5 linked regions of the Ovis aries genome follow. The protein of the gene in region 4 interacts with the protein of the main gene of each other region in a pairwise test. Links are inferred from orthologs where the notes say so. Each region holds a gene or a part of one and is shown on either strand. Other genes may lie near its edges.

What was found.
Region 1: the proteins of EEF1G (region 4) and ILF2 interact in a two-hybrid assay, tested with the Homo sapiens proteins (2 studies listed by BioGRID and IntAct). The two-hybrid records come from large-scale screens. The link is inferred for Ovis aries from reciprocal best matches to the Homo sapiens genes EEF1G and ILF2.
Region 2: the proteins of EEF1G (region 4) and GET4 interact in a two-hybrid assay, tested with the Homo sapiens proteins (2 studies listed by BioGRID and IntAct, with this or other methods). The link is inferred for Ovis aries from reciprocal best matches to the Homo sapiens genes EEF1G and GET4.
Region 3: the proteins of EEF1G (region 4) and KLHL18 interact in binary tests that used the Homo sapiens proteins (3 or more experiments, as listed by UniProt). The two-hybrid records come from large-scale screens. The link is inferred for Ovis aries from reciprocal best matches to the Homo sapiens genes EEF1G and KLHL18.
Region 5: the proteins of EEF1G (region 4) and ECH1 interact in a two-hybrid assay, tested with the Homo sapiens proteins (2 studies listed by BioGRID and IntAct). The link is inferred for Ovis aries from reciprocal best matches to the Homo sapiens genes EEF1G and ECH1.

Annotation. Positions count from the first base shown.
Region 1 is NC_056054.1:104,112,161-104,116,444, forward strand, and holds the start of ILF2 (interleukin enhancer-binding factor 2), read right to left. Parts: upstream 2,814-4,284; 5' UTR 2,763-2,813; coding exon 2,758-2,762; intron 2,066-2,757; coding exon 2,006-2,065; intron 1,799-2,005; coding exon 1,756-1,798; intron 1,188-1,755; coding exon 1,083-1,187; intron 710-1,082; coding exon 632-709; intron 324-631; coding exon 221-323; intron 1-220. UniProt on the Homo sapiens protein: Chromatin-interacting protein that forms a stable heterodimer with interleukin enhancer-binding factor 3/ILF3 and plays a role in several biological processes including transcription, innate immunity or cell growth.
Region 2 is NC_056077.1:42,184,921-42,189,045, forward strand, and holds the start of GET4 (Golgi to ER traffic protein 4 homolog), read right to left. Parts: upstream 2,810-4,125; 5' UTR 2,752-2,809; coding exon 2,597-2,751; intron 1-2,596. UniProt on the Homo sapiens protein: As part of a cytosolic protein quality control complex, the BAG6/BAT3 complex, maintains misfolded and hydrophobic patches-containing proteins in a soluble state and participates in their proper delivery to the endoplasmic reticulum or alternatively can promote their sorting to the proteasome where they undergo degradation.
Region 3 is NC_056072.1:52,314,109-52,316,553, forward strand, and holds part of KLHL18 (kelch-like protein 18), read right to left. Parts: intron 2,119-2,445; coding exon 2,007-2,118; intron 1,282-2,006; coding exon 895-1,281; 3' UTR 1-894. UniProt on the Homo sapiens protein: Substrate-specific adapter of a BCR (BTB-CUL3-RBX1) E3 ubiquitin-protein ligase complex required for mitotic progression and cytokinesis.
Region 4 is NC_056074.1:37,460,082-37,464,124, reverse strand, and holds the start of EEF1G (elongation factor 1-gamma), read left to right. Parts: upstream 1-1,237; 5' UTR 1,238-1,256; coding exon 1,257-1,268; intron 1,269-2,356; coding exon 2,357-2,515; intron 2,516-3,188; coding exon 3,189-3,252; intron 3,253-3,408; coding exon 3,409-3,551; intron 3,552-4,025; coding exon 4,026-4,043. Other genes in the region: TUT1 (speckle targeted PIP5K1A-regulated poly(A) polymerase), read left to right, coding at 1-162. UniProt on the Homo sapiens protein: Probably plays a role in anchoring the complex to other cellular components.
Region 5 is NC_056067.1:47,913,161-47,916,575, forward strand, and holds the end of ECH1 (delta(3,5)-Delta(2,4)-dienoyl-CoA isomerase, mitochondrial), read right to left. Parts: intron 2,659-3,415; coding exon 2,534-2,658; intron 2,450-2,533; coding exon 2,401-2,449; intron 2,271-2,400; coding exon 2,206-2,270; intron 1,631-2,205; coding exon 1,560-1,630; intron 1,475-1,559; coding exon 1,403-1,474; intron 1,145-1,402; coding exon 706-1,144; 3' UTR 507-705; downstream 1-506. UniProt on the Homo sapiens protein: Isomerization of 3-trans,5-cis-dienoyl-CoA to 2-trans,4-trans-dienoyl-CoA.

The sequences.
Region 1 (4,284 bases), on a different chromosome or scaffold from region 4:
TGTCTTGTCCACTGCAGGATGCTTAGCAGCAACCTTGGCCTCTACCAGAAGACGTTAGCCTCAAACATCTCCAGACATTGCTGAATGTCCCCTGGGGAGCAAAGTCCGTCCTGCAGTAACTGGTCATACATTCTTTCACATACAGCACACCATTTAAATCCCTATGCCTCAAATCCAACTGCTATGTTCTGCTGCTGTGGCCAAAGAGAGGCACACTTACATGTTGGCAAAATCTTTAGGATCACTACCAGGTCAGCCACGTTGTGTCCTGTAGTCATCGTTCCCTTTTTATATGATCCGACTTGTCGGACTTCTTCAATTTGCTGTTGGAAAAGGGATTTAAGAAAGAAAAAACAAAACTTACAAGTGAGAAGCTTATTACCCAGATTTGGAAGTAGCAGAGTTCAAATCATATTCCAAAATGAGCAATGAAAAGCCTGATTCATTACAGCTAGCTGATAGCAATGATGAATCTGGTCCCTAAGACCAGCACGACAAAGGAATTCTACTGTACTTTCCCATTCCAAGAGTGGCTTTAAATAAGCATCTGAAGAATCAAGCGACAGGAACCAAGGAAACTTTCACACTTCCATGACTTCCCTTTCCTAGGACTAGATCTTCAAAAACTCACCACTTCAAATGTCCCTGGAGCCACAATCAAATTGTCAATCACATTGTTTATTTTTGTCACCAGGGAAAGGATAGAGGCCTGAAAAATAGCAGGAAACAAAAATACCCTCAGGTGAAATACCAAGCAACTTTTCATCAAGTTTGACTATTTCCCCAATTCCTTCAATAGGAATCAACACCTATACCGGATTCTGAAAGCACCCAGACCCTCCCAGCCTTGAATATGCCAGAAGAGAAAACTTTGATCCCAACGACAGATTCCCCAATAATAATATGAACGCACATGTAATCTGTTTATACATTCACTTGATGCTCTCCCTTTACACACAATGAAAAATAAGAATGATTAAACCTGTGGAGTTCAGGCTCTGACAACAGTAATCTCACCAAGTAGCTATTTACTTCTCTAGCTTCCTTCATGAAATCTCAGGAAGAAAACCAACAGAATATACCTGTTCAGCAGAATTAGGAGCAAGGTCCTGATTCCTCTTCAGCAAGGCCTCACTGAAGGAAGTTTCATCAGGTGCTGGCTTGACCCGGGGAAAAGCCATTTCACACTAAACAAGAAATATACTATATACTACTTGCCAAAAATAATATGCAACAGATTTTTCTGTTGCCACAACACAAAAAAAGAGATAATTCTACAACACTTATACTCTTGTGACCCTAATATTAACAGACAAGGCAGTGATACAATTAACTGTTCAGAACAAAGATTATAATCATGTTACTGTCGATTGTAATGAAGGACCTATCTTCCCCACCCAGGTTATACTTTTTTGTATGTAAAGCAACACAGATGACTCAAAACTTCCCTTTTTCTACTCCAACTACCACATGACTTCATTAACAGGGAGACACCAGGTTCCAAGAAACAACAATTGAATAGTGGCCAAAGTTAAGTTAGTTAAGTCGCTCAGTCGTGTCTGACTCTTTGCGACCCCATGGACTGTAGCCCACCAGGCTCCTCCGTCCATGGGATTCTCCAGGCAAGAATACTGGAGTGGGTTGCCATTTCCTTCTCCAGGGGATCTTCCCCACCCAGGGATCGAACCTAGGTCTCCCGCATTAGAGGCAGACACTTTAACCTCTTAGCCACCAGGGAAGAGACACCGTACTCACCAAATAGAAGTCAAATGGAATATGTGGCACAAAGGGCCTGAACCTAAAAAGCGGAAAAACAATCCAGATTACTCACCACATAAATCAAACTGACTTCACATAATGGGGCCAAACTCATTTATCAAGAGAGCATGAGAAGAATACTTCTAAACTACAGCTGGATCTCAACAAGGCAGGTAAGATACTCCACTCCTATTTAGATGACTGAAAGGGAAACCAACGGGCACAGATGCTAAGGACTGGCACTCACCCTCCTCCTGGGCCTCCTCTGGAACCAAAGCGCCCGCCACGACCGCGGCCTCTGTCACCCCTAGAAATGCATTATTAACATATTTTAACTTTCTTTTCATCTCATTGAAGCAATCTCCTCGGTACCGGCCGTATGATTTCAGGTTAGCCTACCTCTATCGCTCTGCACTTCCCTTTGGAAGCCAAAGGATCCCATTCTCACTTACACTTCTACACCTTCCAAATGTCCAGCCTCACTCCCCATGACTGGATAACTGATTCACATCAAACCACATTAAAGAGAGCCCTACAAGAAACATCCCATAATCGCCGGGTCCCGCCAACCCTAATACTTCGCAGACTAATGTGACTGCTTATTCATTCGTTCATGTAGTAAAAGCATCTATCAGGCGTATCGTGTATGTCAAGCAACTGGCATTGAGGATGAATGAGACACGTTCCAGCCATCTCAGTCTAAATAGGAGGTGTGGGGGTGCTCCTCCTGGAACCTGAGGACACCCTCTCATCTGAACCCCCCAGAGAGCGAACAGTCGGAACCGCCTCTCGACTCCTGGGCCCCACCCCCCATCCCCGGCCAAGTTTCCCCGCCTCCACTGCCCCCGACCTCCCCTTCTCTTAGAGCCGGAGTTCTCAGGTTTCCGTGCAACCCCCAGGTACATGGCCCTTTCCAGTCCGCCGACTCCTTTCGGACCAACTTCCTAAAGTTTTCGGTCGAATACCTGAAACCTCTCCAGGGCACCCCACAACCCTTACCTCATGGCGTCCTAGATCCCGAACAATGGAGGCCACACCAACCGCCCCTTTCCTCTGGGGAGCCGACAACTGGAGAGGCAGCTTGCCGGCGTGTCCCAACAAACTCCAGCGCGATTGGCTCCCGCCGTACTCCGCTGCTTGTGCCTATTGGTTTGCTTTGGCAAACCGGTTTATTGAGCCAATGAAAAGGGCCTGCTCTGTCAGTAACTAGCCAATAAGAACAGGTTAGACGTTAACGCCCTTTTGCAGACACTAGAGAGCGCTGTGTAAAGAAATTAGTGTGGCTGGCATCTAGAGACCTTTCTATGATTCTTGGGGGGTGAAAACGGCAACAGCAGAGTGGCGCAGCGGAAGCGTGCTGGGCCCATAACCCAGAGGTCGATGGATCGAAACCATCCTCTGCTAGCGGTGCTTTTTTAATTTTTTTCTCCTGGGACAGTTTTTCTGTTTTAAATTTCTTCAGTAAATGTAACTACCGTAATCCTACTTTTCTCTCCCTCAAAATATGCAGCCTTTAAAAGCTGTTTTTGCCATCAGCGAGTGAAATGGAAAAGGCAACCGAAATCATGTAGGAAGGGATTTTGGGTGACTGTGAACACTACATGTCTGGATGTGGTTCACAGAGGCTGAAGCAGAAGAAACGGATATGAGTATGTATGTTGATTGACTCAGGGAAAGTACTGATGGTGAGGGACTAGAAGGGAAACTGAGACAGCCTTTGGAAAGAGAGCTCAGAAAAGGAGGGCAAGGGAAGCGACAGGAGAGAAGGACCAGACCGCTGCCATTTTTTGTCGTTTCCTCTCCTTTCCTCATTCTACAACCTCTCTGGCGGATTCCACCTTTATGCAAAGTTTCACAGCCAAGTATATGGATATACTGTGGTTGCATTTACATCAATTCATATTCAGTTCAGTTCAGTTCAGTCGCTCAGTCGTGTCCAACCCTTTGTGACCCCATGAATCGCAGCACAGGCCTCCCTGTCTATCACCATCTCCCGGAGTTCACTCAGACTCACGTCCATCGAATCGGTGATACCATCCAGCCATCTCATCCTCTGTCGTCCCCTTCTCCTCCTGCCCCCAATCCCTCCCAGCATCAGAGTCTTTCCCAATGAGTCAACTCTTCGCATGAGGTGGCCAAAGTACTGGAGTTTCAGCTTTAGCATCATTCCTTCCAAAAGAACACCCAGGGCTGATCTCCTTTAGAATGGACTGGTTGGATCTCCTTGCAGTCCAAGGGACTCTCAAGAGTCTTTTCCAACACCACAGTTCAAAAGCATCAATTCTTCGGCGCTCAGCTTTCTTCACAGTCCAACTCTCGCATCCATACATGACCGCTGGAAAAACCATAGCCTTGACTAAACGGACCTTTGTTGGCAAAGTAATGTCTCTGCTTTTCAATATGCTATCTAGGTTGGTCATAACTTTTCTTCCAAGGTGCTTTTTGTCCTTCCTATAATCCTGTTTATCCTCCTTGCCTTCTTTTGCATTAATTACTGTTTATTATTCCTTCTCTGCTTCTGTCAAT
Region 2 (4,125 bases), on a different chromosome or scaffold from region 4:
GAGGCAGACAGGCCGGGTTCCTGGGGCAGCAGCCCCGGTTCCCAGTGACCACAGCCACACAGTCCTGGCAGCCCTGCCCACGGGAGAACCGCCAGCGGCTGGAAACCCCCCAGCAGCGACAGGTGCCCCGAAGCCTGACGCGCTTTCTGCACGCCGCAGATGGACATGTCTGAGCCCTTCCTGTCCCGGCAGAGAGAAGGCTGAAGAGAGTGCCCGTAACACCTGGGACGGAGCTCGGCCGCCCTCGTCCTTGGAACCAGCAGCTCCTGCCCCCCTCGCGCAGCACACACCCTGTAAATCCAAACCAGTTCCTCTCCCCCTCCTCAGGCTGCTGGGGGACACAGTGTAAGCGAATTAAAATAGCACAGATAGGTGAATTTATCCAACAGGTGACCGGATGAGACGATGCGGCCCCCGCAACCGCTGCCACTCAACAATAATTAACTAGTGACACGTGTTAAGGGTGGGCCTCCGAACGGTCACGCTAAGGAAACTTGAGAAGTCAGATAAAAAGAGGACATGCTATACAATGCTACTTACACAAAATCCCGGAAAATGCAAACCCACGTATCATAACAGAGATCAGTGGACGCCTGGGGGCCAGGGGTGAAAAGTCATCTTAAAGGCAGAAGAGAAAGCTCTGGGGCATGAGGAGTATTTTCAGCACTTTGGTGATAATTTCTTGCGTGAATACATATGTCAAAACCCATCAAATTGTACATTTATATAAATGCTTAAAAGCACTTATAAAAAGTCATTACAAGAGTGAGGCTGACTTCTTCGGAAGCTGCCAGCCACAAAGAGCTCTAAGCCAGGACTGCAACCGCAGGTCTGAGCACGGATGACGCCCTGCAGGCCGACTCAGCTGGGCCCTCTGGACGCCCACTAACGCCACCCTGCTTGGGTCCACAGCTGACCGTTCACTTCTCAGGAGTCCTGAACACGTGTAGGAGCCCCTCAAAGACCAAAGAGGAAGCCAAGACGTGGAGAAGAGGTTTAGCAAGTTGTCCTGGGTTACAGGTCACTGAGCAGAGGAGAAATGTGAATACAAGTCAAGGCAGGGCTGGTGGTCACCACAAAGCACACTTCGGGCACAGGGAGGCCACTTCAAAGCTAATCGACAATCGCGCTCCTGGCACAGCGGCGACTGCAGAGCTGGCTCACAACAAGGAACGCTGTGTTTATTTTTGGGACGATCCAGTTTTGCTGATTAATCACTGGGGCAAATATTTATACACAAATCCCTGAGAACAGCAAGCACCAGGCAAATCTCAAGCGCTACAGAGCTCCCATCCTACAGATCTCATTGGCTGGGCTCCGGGCAGAAGGCTCCATGTTACAGACTTTAAACCTGCTTACACCTTTGACTCATCCCCTGAAGGACAATTAACTCCCTGCTCCCTGGTCCTCTGGGCCACCGAGCCCAAATACGATCTGAGGCAGGCTCACTCGCACTGCGTCCCAACCAACCAACCACCAAAACAGAAAGCACTGCCAGAGTTCCCAAGACACTGATTCAACCCGCCGTTAAAAGAAAAATTTATATCCAGGCCTAAATGTTTTAAGGCAGACCTTACTGCCCATAAACATCACAGCAAAGTATTTGCCGCCGTGGGACAGTTTGGAAAAAAAAAACACAAACATTCCGCAGAACAGATTAAATCCTCTAAAATTATCTTTAAATGCTAACAAATAGCCCAAGTGTTTTCTGGCAAGAACCCTAAAGGCTGACAGCATTTATGTAATATACAGCAATGCCTGACGCGCAGAGAGACAGCTAGGAAATCACAGCAGCAGCGGCAGTGACCGCAGAAACGGTGTGGCGCGCCGCAGTCCCGAGCAGAACCGAGCGAGGCGGCGCCCGGGCAGCCCCTGAGGCCACCCCAACAGCGACATCGCGTTCCACCCAGTGCGGCCGAGCAGGCAGTAGTTCCCGAAGCTACCTGACCTCTCCTCTGCGCTCACGGCCCATCCTGTGAGGGACTCACATTCCAGAAGCTCAACTGCCGCACGTGGCCAGCGAGCCGCACACGCACCACAAAAACACCGGCTTCACGGAAACAGCCGGGTCAGTACCACGGTGAGCAAGGGCGACGCAGCAGGAGAAGCCTGTCTACAGCCTCGCGGCCGGGCGCCGAGGGAGAGCCGGGGGGCGCGCAGCGAGGCTTTCGGACTCAACGGCGCTCAGGGCGGGGGAGGGGGCGAGCGGCCGCGGCGGCTCCGGCACCCGGGCCGTCCGCACTCTCGGCCAGGGCTTCGGGCCCACCCGGGGTCCCGGCCGGGGCCGCGGGTCGGGGGCGGGGAGCTCCAGTCCCGGGCGGGGGGCTCCGGGTCGGGCGCCGGAGTGCGCGGGCCCGGGCGCCGGCGGGGGCCGCGGGGGCGGGCGAGGGGCCGCGGCGCCGCTCCCGGGCTGCAGCCCGCCCCCGGCCGCCTCCCCGCCGCCCGCTCCCACCGCCCAGGCGACGGGCAGCGGCGCGGGCCAATGGCGGCGCGGGGCGGCGCGGCGCGGCCAATGGGGCGCGGCCGGGGGCGGGGCGCCGGGCTCCGCGGCCGGGCGGGGAGCCCCGGCAGGCGGCGGCCGCGGCGCGGCGCCTACCTGAAGAAGAGGGTCCGGTACATCTGGTGCGCCTCGTAGTAGTCGCCCTTCTCGACGCTGGCCCGCAGCTTGCCCTCCACGCGCTGGACGCCGCCGCGGTTGCGGGCGCCGTTCCGGGCGCTCTCCTGCTCGGCCATCGCCGCCGCCGCCGCCATCGGGCCGGCGCTCCGCGCAGGGCTGACGCTGTCGCAGGCGCGGTCGGCAGCGCCTCTCGGCTTCCGTCCCGGCGGCCTCCGGGTGCCCTCTACGGTGGCCCGCGAGGGGCCGCGCGCGGCCGCGGAGGCGGGGCGCGGGCGCGCACGTGACCGCGGGGCGGGGCGGCGCCACAATGGCGGCGGCGGCGGCCCCGTGCCCGGGAGCGCGGGCAGGGCGCGCCCCGCCGCGGCTGCGGCCGCCGAGACACTGAGGCCGTCCGGGGAAGACCGTGCTCCCAGCCGTTCAGCGGGGCGCCGGCGGCTCGGGGTCCGGGCGCAGCGCTCGGCCCCGGCGCCCGACACCCGGCCCCGCCGCTGACTGCTCGCGGGGGGCCCGTGGGAAACGCGGAGACGCGTCTGCGGCGGGAGCGCGCACGGCGGGGGGGCGCGCGCACGGCCACCGCCAGGGGCACGCGCACGGCGGGGGCGGGGGCGCGCGCGCCGAGAGGCTCGCTGCCCGGCGACCCCGGCCCAGACCCGGCAGAGGCGACCCGGCCGGAAAGGGTCGGAGGAGGGGTCGCTCAACGCACTGTGTCCCCCTCATCGCCCGGGGCAGAGACGAAGCAGGTAGAGAAAAGAACATACTGTTTATTATCCATCTGAAACGTCACATGCGCTTTAAAAAGTTAAAACTCTTTATTTAAACATTTCGGCAGCGTCTTACCAATTTGGTGGCAGCAAAGAAGCTCTACCAAAGTATGTTGAAAAGCATTTACAAAAATACATTGCACAGAGTCCTGTCTCGCATCTTTAAAAATAAATATTCAAAATATTTCCACCCCATCTCCCAAATTTAGCTTTATATAGGAAATTTTGATTTATATATTTATCCTGTAATATATGAAACATATGTATACATTTTATTCAACTTAACTGCATAGGCATTAGTTTCAATTCTGACAAGAGTGAAAAAAAACCCTAGTGTATGTGGCTGTCGTATATTTGAGGACTGTTGTGCAATGCACATAAAACTCTTCAGAAAACCAGTCAGCACCATCATTTTGTCTTTTTCTGAAAATACATTTATGGTACACCAAAAAACTGTCTTAACCCAATAAAACTTAAATAATTCTTAAGGTAAAACATCTGTAACTTTAAGTGCCTTGCAGATACATTTATAAAGTCTGCTCAGTGAAAGTCTAAATATTAAATATTAATTATAACCAAAACAAAGAGAATGGCCGAGTCGTAATAAAAGGCAAATCCAACCAGAGCCAGCACAAAGTGCTGCTGTAAGAACAGTGTCACCAAATGTCCTGGTTTCATGAATTTGCCACGTGGGACAATCTCCTTTAATAACTGTAAGTGGAATAAAAACATAAGCCTCTGAAAGAC
Region 3 (2,445 bases), on a different chromosome or scaffold from region 4:
CGTGCCCTACGAGGCCTCGGGACCCTGGGATCCGAAGAATGTGGGAGCGGGTACCACCCTTTTCATGGCGGGTGGAGGTTTTCCATTTAAACACATAACTGCCCTTAGTGTCTTTTATGTTTTCTTCTTGCCAAAAAAAAAAAAAGCTCACTTGAAAAAAGTATTTTTCCTCCAGTTTCTTTCAAGTGTTGCTTTAACTTTCCTTCAGTTTCCTTCAAGTATCTTTTTTTTTTTCTTCTCCCTCGGTTTCTCTCGAATAAGATGAAAAAGACCTCGTGGCAATCCCAAAATTAGACACAGGAAAAGTTTCTGTTCTCCCTGCTTGCTCAGCAATGTAGACAAGAATCCTCGGGGCCCTTGGATGGAAGGAGGCGCAGGGGCCCATGTGCAGCTGGCCCTGCCATGCTGCAGGCTCACAGTGAGGAACTCTGGCCTGTGTCCCCTCTCCCCCGGCCACATCCGGCAGTTTCCAGCGGCCTCAGCCACTGCAGCCGCCCCCCTGCAAACTGGCCACGGTATGGCTGGTGTGCGGTGGGCGAGGACTGTCAAGATGGAAAGCCCTCGGCAGAGGGGCGGCCCACGGAGCTGCGGCGGCTGGGAGGTGGGCTTGGATGGAGCCCGCGGATGTGTGGACCAGCTAAGCCGCCCTGTAAGCGGCGGCAGGACCCACAGGGGCTCTGTCCCCTGCTGTGTATCTTGGTCACCCAGGCCTGAAGATCACAAGGGCTGCACAGCCAAGGAGGACTTAAGCACCTGAAACCCTGGACCTCCGGCGAGCTCACGTTTCACCTTGTCGTCTGGTCCAGCACCTCTCCCCAGGGGGACGGTCCCCGGGAGGGAGTGCTGCCTGTGTTTGTACCAGATCCCTGCCCCACCACGGCCCACCCCTGCGCCTTAGATGGTGAGCAGAGGGATGCAGCCCACACCGACCCCGCCCTCGTGACAGGCCATGGGGGCCATGAACGTCCAGCGGTCCGTGTCTGGGTCGTACATCTCCACCGAGCTCAGGTTGGACTGTCCGTCATAGCCCCCCACGGCGTAGAGCCGCCCGCAGCTGGCCACCAGCGAGACCCGGCTCCGGCGCGTGAGCATGGGCACGATCAGGCACCACTGGTCCGCCACTGAGCTGTACACCTCGGCGATGCTGAGGAAGCCCGAACCGTCGTAGCCCCCGCACACGAACATCTTGCTTCCCAGGGAGGCGGCCCCGTGGCGGCAGCGCTTGTTGAGCATGCCGGCCGCCGGGTGCCATGTGGCCGTGTGGTGGTTGTAGTGCTCCACCTGCAGCAGGGAGAGGGGTGGTCAGGCCCAGGCTCGGCTGCCGGCGGCCCGGCTGCCCTCCGTGCCCAGGGAGAGGCTGAGGGGACGAGGAGCTCTGCCGGGCTGGGCCCTGGCCCCGAAGCCCACGTTCCTCAGCTGCACACCTGCTTGTGAGATGACAGGCATGGGCGACAGGGAGACGGCCTGGCCTCACCAGCTCTGTCTACACCCACAGAAAGAAGTCGAGGAGCTGCTGCAATGCGCTTGCTTTGTGTGGTGACAGAGCAGCGGGCGTGCGGGGTCTCCCGAGATCCCCACCGTCTGGTCCCCCTGAAGCCCTGACGGACAGTGGAATGACCACTCAATGGCTCTGGAGCTCTTTTTAAAATAAATGCAATTTCAAGTCAAGTGGCCAGAAGAACGCAACTATCTGCACGTTCCCACTCTGTCTACGATTGCACTTCCTCTGGGCGGGAAATTCAGCAGGGCTCAGGTGCTGTTCGCTGAGGAGATGACCAGGGTGGAGTGAGAGTGCTAAGGCCACACTCTAACCCTCTCTGTGCACACGGGTTCCCATGCTCCGAGGCGGCATTTCAGAGCACGTGGCAGATGGCCTGAGGCCCCGAGGTGACACTTTCCCTAGCAGTGGCCAGGCTGAGCCTTTTTCCAAAGAACGTCCTTTCAAAATAACTCTCGCAGGTAAAGGGAGTGTAGGTGCCCTTAGCCCAGGAGGAGCCCAGACTCACGCTGCTGAAGATCTGCAGGCCGTCGTGGCCGCCCGACACGTAGATCCTGCCCTCAAAGACTGTAACCCCTGCGGCACTGCGGTTCGAGCTCATCGGGGTCACCACTGTCCACCTTCAGGAAGAGGCAAAGGAGAAAAGGAGCCATGAGATCGGGGGGTCCTGCCCTCCCAAGACGGCGGAGGAGGATCTGGAGGAGCTATGCTCTGTTCTGTCCCAGCCTGGACAACCCCCCCAGTTCTTACGGCCTCCTCCACCACCTCTGCTCAGGTCACTCTGGCTGCCGCCTTTTGCTTAAGCTTCAGGCCCACGCACTCAAAGTCAGGATGCCCAAGCAAGGCCTCTCTGACAGATCTGCTCCTCCCTAATGCCTCTGGTCTTGTGAATGGGACCACCAGCCATCTAGCTGCTAGATTTATAGTTTCAGAATTTTTTAAGACCA
Region 4 (4,043 bases):
AGGCCAGAGGCCGAGCCACTCCTGACCTTCGTGGCATCCGCCTCCCAGGCTGACCAGAGTCTCACTGTGACCCCACTCCAGGATTCTCAAGGCCTGTTCCCTGATCTCCATCATTTCTTACAGGTTTTTCTCCCTCAAGCACTTCGAAATCTACTTAAGTGAAGATGGGAACCCTGAAAGGCAATAAAGCTGCTAGTTTAATGAACACTAGTTTCCTCTATTTCCACCTGGTGATAATACTCCTTCCCCGACTAAGTGCTTAGTGCACCCTCAGAGGTACCTTGTCTTGTCACCCTAAAATAAGTCTGTCTCCCAGGCTGTTTCCTTTCATGCCCAGGGCAAGTGATTGGCACCTGGACACTCTCAGTACTGAGTTCTGGAAAGATGGAGTGCTGGGTGGGTGGCTTAAGCTGCACCTGGAAAGAACCAAGTTTCCTTCCTCATTTACATTACTGCCCAGATTATGAATGGTGACGGGCTTGAAATTTGGGTCCAGGGTTCTAAATCCATTCTCTTCATATTGGGTAAAAAATGTTCAGATCTGAGTATGGGTAAAGGGCAACCCCTCATTTGAACTGTCAGCCCCTCCAAGGTGACAGAACTTGGCTGTGTTCTCCCTCAGTCCCTCCCCTGTTGCGGGTCCCGGAAGAGTGCCTCTTAGTAACAGCACCTGTGAGCTGCAAGGTGGTTTAATGGAAAAAGCCTCACTTTTACGGAGGGTTTCAGACCTGGGCTTGGGTCAGATGTACAATCTCTCCTCTAGAAAGCTGTAACAAAAGGAGCGTGGGACCCCGTCATCTCCACGCAGTTGCCACCCCAATGCGTCACGCGACCACGATGTTGTGGGTCTGGCACGACCTTCACCAAATCACCATGGGCCAGGCGACCCGGAGGGAAACGCCTCTGGTGCCCCGCAAGATGCCGAGCTGGCAGCTCTGCCACGTAGCTGCAGAGGGGCGGCTTTCCAGGCAAGACTCAGCGTCTCCGCGCGGTCTACCTCCACGTCCGGACTCGGATTGGCCATCCCCCACTGCGCCGGCGCGAGTTTTTTCCGCGCTGGCCAGTAGGCCCCACCCACTTCTTTTTCCATTCAGCTGCTGCGGGATACCGAACTGTCGTGCGTAAGCCTTCTATGCCGTCCTCGCTTTCCGGCTGCTGTTTCTCCACGGCTCTCCCCTTCCCCCCTCCCTTCTCTCCCTGACGGCTTACTTTGCGGCAGCGCGGAGAGCCCCACCCCCTTTCTCTGCGGAATCACCATGGCGGCTGGGGTAAGTTTGCCGGCTCCGGCGATCCAGGTCATCCTATCCGACGCCATCCTCTGCCCGAGCAGGCTCAGCCGGCGTCAGAGGGGTTCTGCAGCTGAGTCGGGAACTGATCCGGGGTTTGGAGATCGTACTGTTCGAGAGTAGGGCCTCCAGGCCCCAGAGGGGAACTGAGGCTAGGGCTCTGGGAGGCAGAAGAGGTGGAAGGGTCTGGGGTAGAGGAGAAAACGGATGCCGGATTCTGGCAATCTGGAGCTTGATAAAGCAGTTCGGGTTCATTGCCGCCTCGAGACGTGGGATCCGGGCAGGTTGGCAAAACTTTTGCGACCGTTTTGTGGGGCAACAGGAGGGACAGGGCGAAGAGGAAGGTCTTTATGGGCAGGTACGGCTGGCCACGGTTAAGGGTGGTCCGGTGGGGAGGTTGGGGAGCGAGAAGAGTCTCTGGACAGGGAAGTCAGGCCAGTTGGACCTCCCTGGCCAGGTTAATAGAAGGGGAGAAGGCAACCCGGAGAACTCACTGCGGGACAGGACCGAAGAGATGGAATGCGTGACAAGAAATGAAAGGGTTTTTAGGGAGACCGAGTTGATTTAAGATGCCATTCGGTTCCCGTGGCTATTTGGAGTGGGCTCGGAAATGTCTTGGTCGATGTGTGTGTCTTGGAAACAAGCGTGATACTTCTGATGGGTGAGCGGCTCAGCAGTAGAGTAGTCAGGCACTCGGCAACCATGAATGAATGAACAAGGGCTCTGGGAAGGGAGGGCTGTGTGTTTGTCGGCAGATGGAGTCTGAGGGACCTAGAAGTTCTGTATTTCTTGGAACTATATTTGAGGGGAAGAGAATGCTTCTAGAGACGTCCTTAGAGAAGGTCAAATCTGTCAACAAGCTTTATTTAGCAGTCGGTGTGTAGTTCTGTCCTCGGTATTTCAGGGGACTCTGGTTACACTTGACGGCAGACACGGAAGAACTAACTTGGTTCACCAGAGGGAGTGAGGTGAAATGGATTGGGATTACTCAGGGAAGTCATTGCTTGGAAACACTTAAGACTGGGACCCTTCTAGTCATTAATGTTTCATTCCCCATCTTTTCCCCACAGACCCTGTACACATATCCTGAAAACTGGAGGGCCTTCAAGGCCCTCATTGCCGCTCAGTACAGCGGGGCTCAGGTCCGCGTGCTCTCCGCACCACCCCACTTCCATTTTGGCCAAACCAACCGCACCCCCGAATTTCTCCGTAAATTTCCTGCTGGCAAGGTGAGTAGGGAAGTGGAAGAGGGGCCTTTGGTCCTGAGAATCCAAGGAGAACTGAGAAGCCATCACTCTGAAAATGGCTTCCATCTTTAAAGGGGATCTTTTCATGTTATTTTTTTCCCCTACACTTCAGAGACTTAAAACTTTTATTTTGAGATGATGGTGATTTATTTGTAGTTAAAAATAGTATAGAATTCTTCAGTGATTTCCTGTAAAACACAAGCTTTGAGGCAGACTGAATGGATTTTGACTGATTTCAGTGCAAATGTCAATAGGTCAGATACCTGCTGTGAGTGAAATTCTTGCCCCAAGAGGCTTAGGGAGATAGATAAATAACCATGCTAAGTCAAGTCCAGTGGAGTAGTACGTGGTAATGCTCTGGATAATATAGACAGCAGCAGAGGACTTGGTTTCTTGGCTTTTGCTTATTTGATTGAGGAATTATGTACAAATATCTAATAATATCTAAATTTGGGGGGTTTCTTATGTGAGTTCACATTGTAGGGGGTAGCAAGTTAGTCATGTAGTTTTGGTTCTTGAGTTTCAGATAGCGTTGAGTTCGGTTAGCAAGGGATATCAGCCTTATATAAAAACTTCTATTCAAAACAGTTGCGCCTCCTGGACTTGACTAGTGAGAAACTGCTGTATATTTTACTTTTGACTATTCTGTCACCAGGTTCCAGCCTTTGAGGGTGACGATGGATTCTGTGTGTTCGAGAGCAATGCCATTGCCTACTATGGTAATCTGCAGTGGCTGTGGGAGTGGGAGGGTCTGGAGATGGTGAGGCGTAGGGGAGGGTGGGGGAGCTGGAGTGGACAGAAAGAAGAATTTCCAGGCACCTGGACTGGTCTTGGCATAACCCCAGAGTTCTGACCTTCATGTTCCGCCTCTGCAGTGAGCAACGAGGAGCTGCGGGGAAGTACTCCCGAGGCAGCGGCGCAGGTGGTGCAGTGGGTGAGCTTTGCTGATAGCGACATAGTGCCACCAGCCAGCACCTGGGTGTTCCCGACCTTGGGCATCATGCACCACAACAAGCAGGTAAGCCTTGGAGCTTGGGGGAGACCACGGGCCGGGGTGGCATCCGCTTCCTGAGCATCCGGGACGAAGGAATAGGAAGGGCGATGCCAAGAACACCTAAATAGTTAAATCTTTGGGATGTAAGCTGGGAGTGCTGGGGAGCGCTGGGCAGACCCCGCGGAGGTGGGAGGTCTGAGTGGACAGACCAGAGATTTCTGCTGTAAAAAGATTGTATCAGATGGTAAGGGAATATAGTTAGATCAGATGACCTCTAAGGTGACTTCTAAAATTCAAAGATGTATGGCTATGATTAGTACAGTTTGAAATGAAGCCAGACTGCACCCTGAAGAAATTTAACATTGAGAGCTTCATTTGTGATACATTTGCAGCGAGCCAGGACTCAGTGGAATAGCTATTTTGGTTCTGTTATTGGGGGAGAAGGGCAGGGACAGGGCTTGCTACCCACTGCTGAGCCTGATCATTTTAAATCAATAGGCCACAGAGAATGCAAAG
Region 5 (3,415 bases), on a different chromosome or scaffold from region 4:
TTTTTTAATTAATTTTTTTGGCGGTGCCACCAGGCTTGTGTGATCTTAGCTCCCCGACTAGGGATTGAACCCTGGGCCACCACAGTGAAAGCACCTAGTCCTAATTCCCCAGGAGGTTGAGATTACCTATGGAAAACTTGAAGCTTAAAGAAGTGAGGCAGTCGGCCCAAGAGTGTGTAGCAGTTGACTCCTAACCACACTCCAGCACCGGATCCCACTATGTTCTGTACTGAGTGGGTACCAGGCAGGGTAGACTCTGCCCTTAAGCATGAAGCAGGCAGGGAGACCATCTGTAGCCTTGTCAACCTAAAGGGAGTCACATGACTTTCTACCAGGGCTGGCCTGGCCTGCCCACCAACACTCTGAATGGTCCTCACCTGCACAGCTCCCATTCCCAATCGGTCAAACCTCTATTCCCAACATTCAACACAACCGTGGTCCTTAGAGCCCCGAGGGTCACTGTACTGCCTACTCTTTATGCCGCGCCTCTCTTTCCAACAAGGACACCGGGTTCTTTACGCTTTATTGTTCGTGGGGCAAAGATAAGGCAGGAAGAAATGTGTCATAAAGGTATAAACTGGGAGACTTGAGAAGACAGCAAGCTGGACCATCTTTACGAATCCTCCCTTTCCATGAACAAGAACATGCAGGCAGGAGGCGGGGCAAAGCCAGACCCCTGCGCCAAGACCTGGGACGACAGGCCTCTCAGAGCTTGGAGAAGGTGACGGTCTTCAGAGCCTTCTTCTCTATTGCGGCCTGGACAGACTTCATGATGTCTTCTGTTTGTAGCATGCTCATGTTCCAGGATTTCTGGATAATGATGGCAGCCGGTAATAGAAAGGATACAGGAAGATTTTCGTTGGACCAATGAAAAAATGGGAGGGAGACAGCAGCGAGCCAATCAGAGGACAAGGCCTGTAAAGGGCCGCTGGGCCCTGATTGGTCACTCAGGGAATCAGAGATGGGTGTGATTGGTTGGATGGAGAGTCTCACCATATAGTTGAGGCTCTCCGTCACCGAATGGTCGCGGGAGTAGATCAGGTTGATTTTTGTGCTCTGCACCGCCACGGGGCTCTTGCTGGAAATCTCAGCTGCCAAGGTGAAAGCCGCATCAAGCATGGTCTCCTTATCTGGGAAGAGCCGGCTGAGGATGAGAGAAATTGGAAATCAGGCAATCTGAGGAGAGCTCTCCTCTCCCTCCGATGGATGAAGAAGTGACCAATCGCAGTAGAAAGTGGAAGACAGCGCTGGTGAAATGGACCAATCGGAACAGGGCAATAGACTCCACCCAGAGAGAGGAGGCCACTTGGAATCCGTGAGTTAAGGTGCATGGGAATCCAAGGAGCCCCACCCAAGCCTGGCTGCCCCTGAATTCTTATCCAGCACAGGCCTCAGCCCCTACCTGACCAGTCCACTCTCCAGGGCCTCATCAGCCATCATCTTGCGGGCAGTGTAGGCCAGCTCGTTGACCAGGCTGCAAGAGGGCAGGACATGCGAGAGGATGGCATCCTGTTTAGGAGTTGCTCTGTTGTCCCCTTGCCCAGGCTCCCCTCACCCACCTCTGGTTCCCGATGACTTTGGGCAGTCGCTGCAGGGTTCCCACATCTGCCGCCAAACCTACGTCCACCTCCTGGGGGAAGCGACAGTGTTAGTGCTTGGTTTCTGCCCAGTATTGTCCCCACTGCAGCCTCAGTGGCAGCGAAACTCTGTATTTACCTGAGTCCCACCACACTCTCACCTCGGAGACGCCCCTCCAAAACACCCCTTTTCATTCCCATCCAGACTTTTGCCCATATAGGTTCCTTTGCTCTAGAATATAGCCCACCTTCCAACTCCCCTGTCCTCCCAACTCTGAAGTCAGCTGCATCTATCTCCAGGAAAAGCCTTGCCCTGAACCCCTCCATCCATGAGCTCCATCCTGCCTCCCACCCCCTCCAGCGCTGACTCGAGCAAAACCCCCACCCTCTTCCCCTCCCCCACACATTGACTCACTCTTGACCTCACACTGACTCCATGACCTCCCCTTGATGTCCCCCGTGGCCAAGTTTTACTTTTTAAGATTCAATTCTAACTTTTCCATGAAGCCATCGAGGCTCACTCCCACCCCCTTTAGCTTGCTCCGTCCCTGCTCTGACCCGGCTCTGCCACTCATTTCTCATACCTCAGTAGGACCCAAGGGAGCAGAAGCTTGGGAGAATGGCTCACCTTCACTTGGAAGAAAGAATCCCGGGTACTGTATCGGATGTCACAGGCAGTGATGAGATCCACTCCTGGGAAGTAGAGGCCAGAGACACTGAACAACCACAGGACTGACCCACCCCCACTCCCAGACCATGGGCTTGCGCCTTGGGGCAAAGTCTAACTAGCAACAGATCTGGGGTGGGTGGACTCAGACTCAACCTCCACCAATGCAGCCTCCATGGATGGCAGCGATCACCGGCTTAGGGCACTAGAAGGGGACAGAAGGGGCAGGGTCAAGGCTGGTCCGGGAGCAGCAGGTTGGGGGGACACCCTGCTAGACTCCCAGAGTCACCTTCTCGATGACGCTGAAGGTCTCTTGGTATCTGGTGATGAGGCTATGAAGGTGCCAGCTGATGCGGGCCGTGTCGTCACCTGCAGGCTGAAGGAGCTCTGAAGCCATGTCCATGAGGTCGATACCTGGTGGGGAGATGTGGGGAGGCTCACCTAGCCTCCCAGGCCCTACCCATTGCCCCAACTAGAGGTCATAGGCCAGGCAAACCACCACAGTGGAGAAAGCAACTCACACAGGTCTTCTGGAGGGGTCGCATTTGGGGTGTGAAGGCAATACAAGTTAACACATATTGAGTCTCTGCTCACTTTAGCCTCACAATGATCCTCTGAGGTAGGTCCTATTACTATCTCCATTTTATCGGGGGAGAAACTGAGGCACAGGGAGCTTAAGTCGCTTGCCCAAGGTCACCCTGGCTTGTGAGCAGTGGAACTGAGATTTCAAACCCAGAGCCATGCAGCCGGCTCTCGGTGGTAAAGAATCTGCCCGCAATGCAGGAGACTGGGTTCGATCCCTGGGTTGGGAAGATCCCGTGGAGGAGGAAATGGCAACCCACTCCAGTATTCTTGCTGGAAAATCCCATGGACAGAGGGGCTGGCTCCTCTGTGGACTGGGCTACAGTCCATGGGATCTCAAAGAGTTGGACATGACTTGAGCAACTAACACTAATTTTGTCAAAGGTAGTAATGGTTCCTGAGATGGGGAGGTCAGAAATGGAGCAATCTTTGTCACTCCAACCTTAAGACAATCCCAAGTCTGACCTTTTCCTCCACTGACCTGCTCCCACATTCTGTTCCCCACACGCAGCCTCAGGGCCCTTGTGATCATCTCAGGGCCCTCTCTTCTTCCCATCCACCCATCTCTCTCATATAGAATAAAATGCGA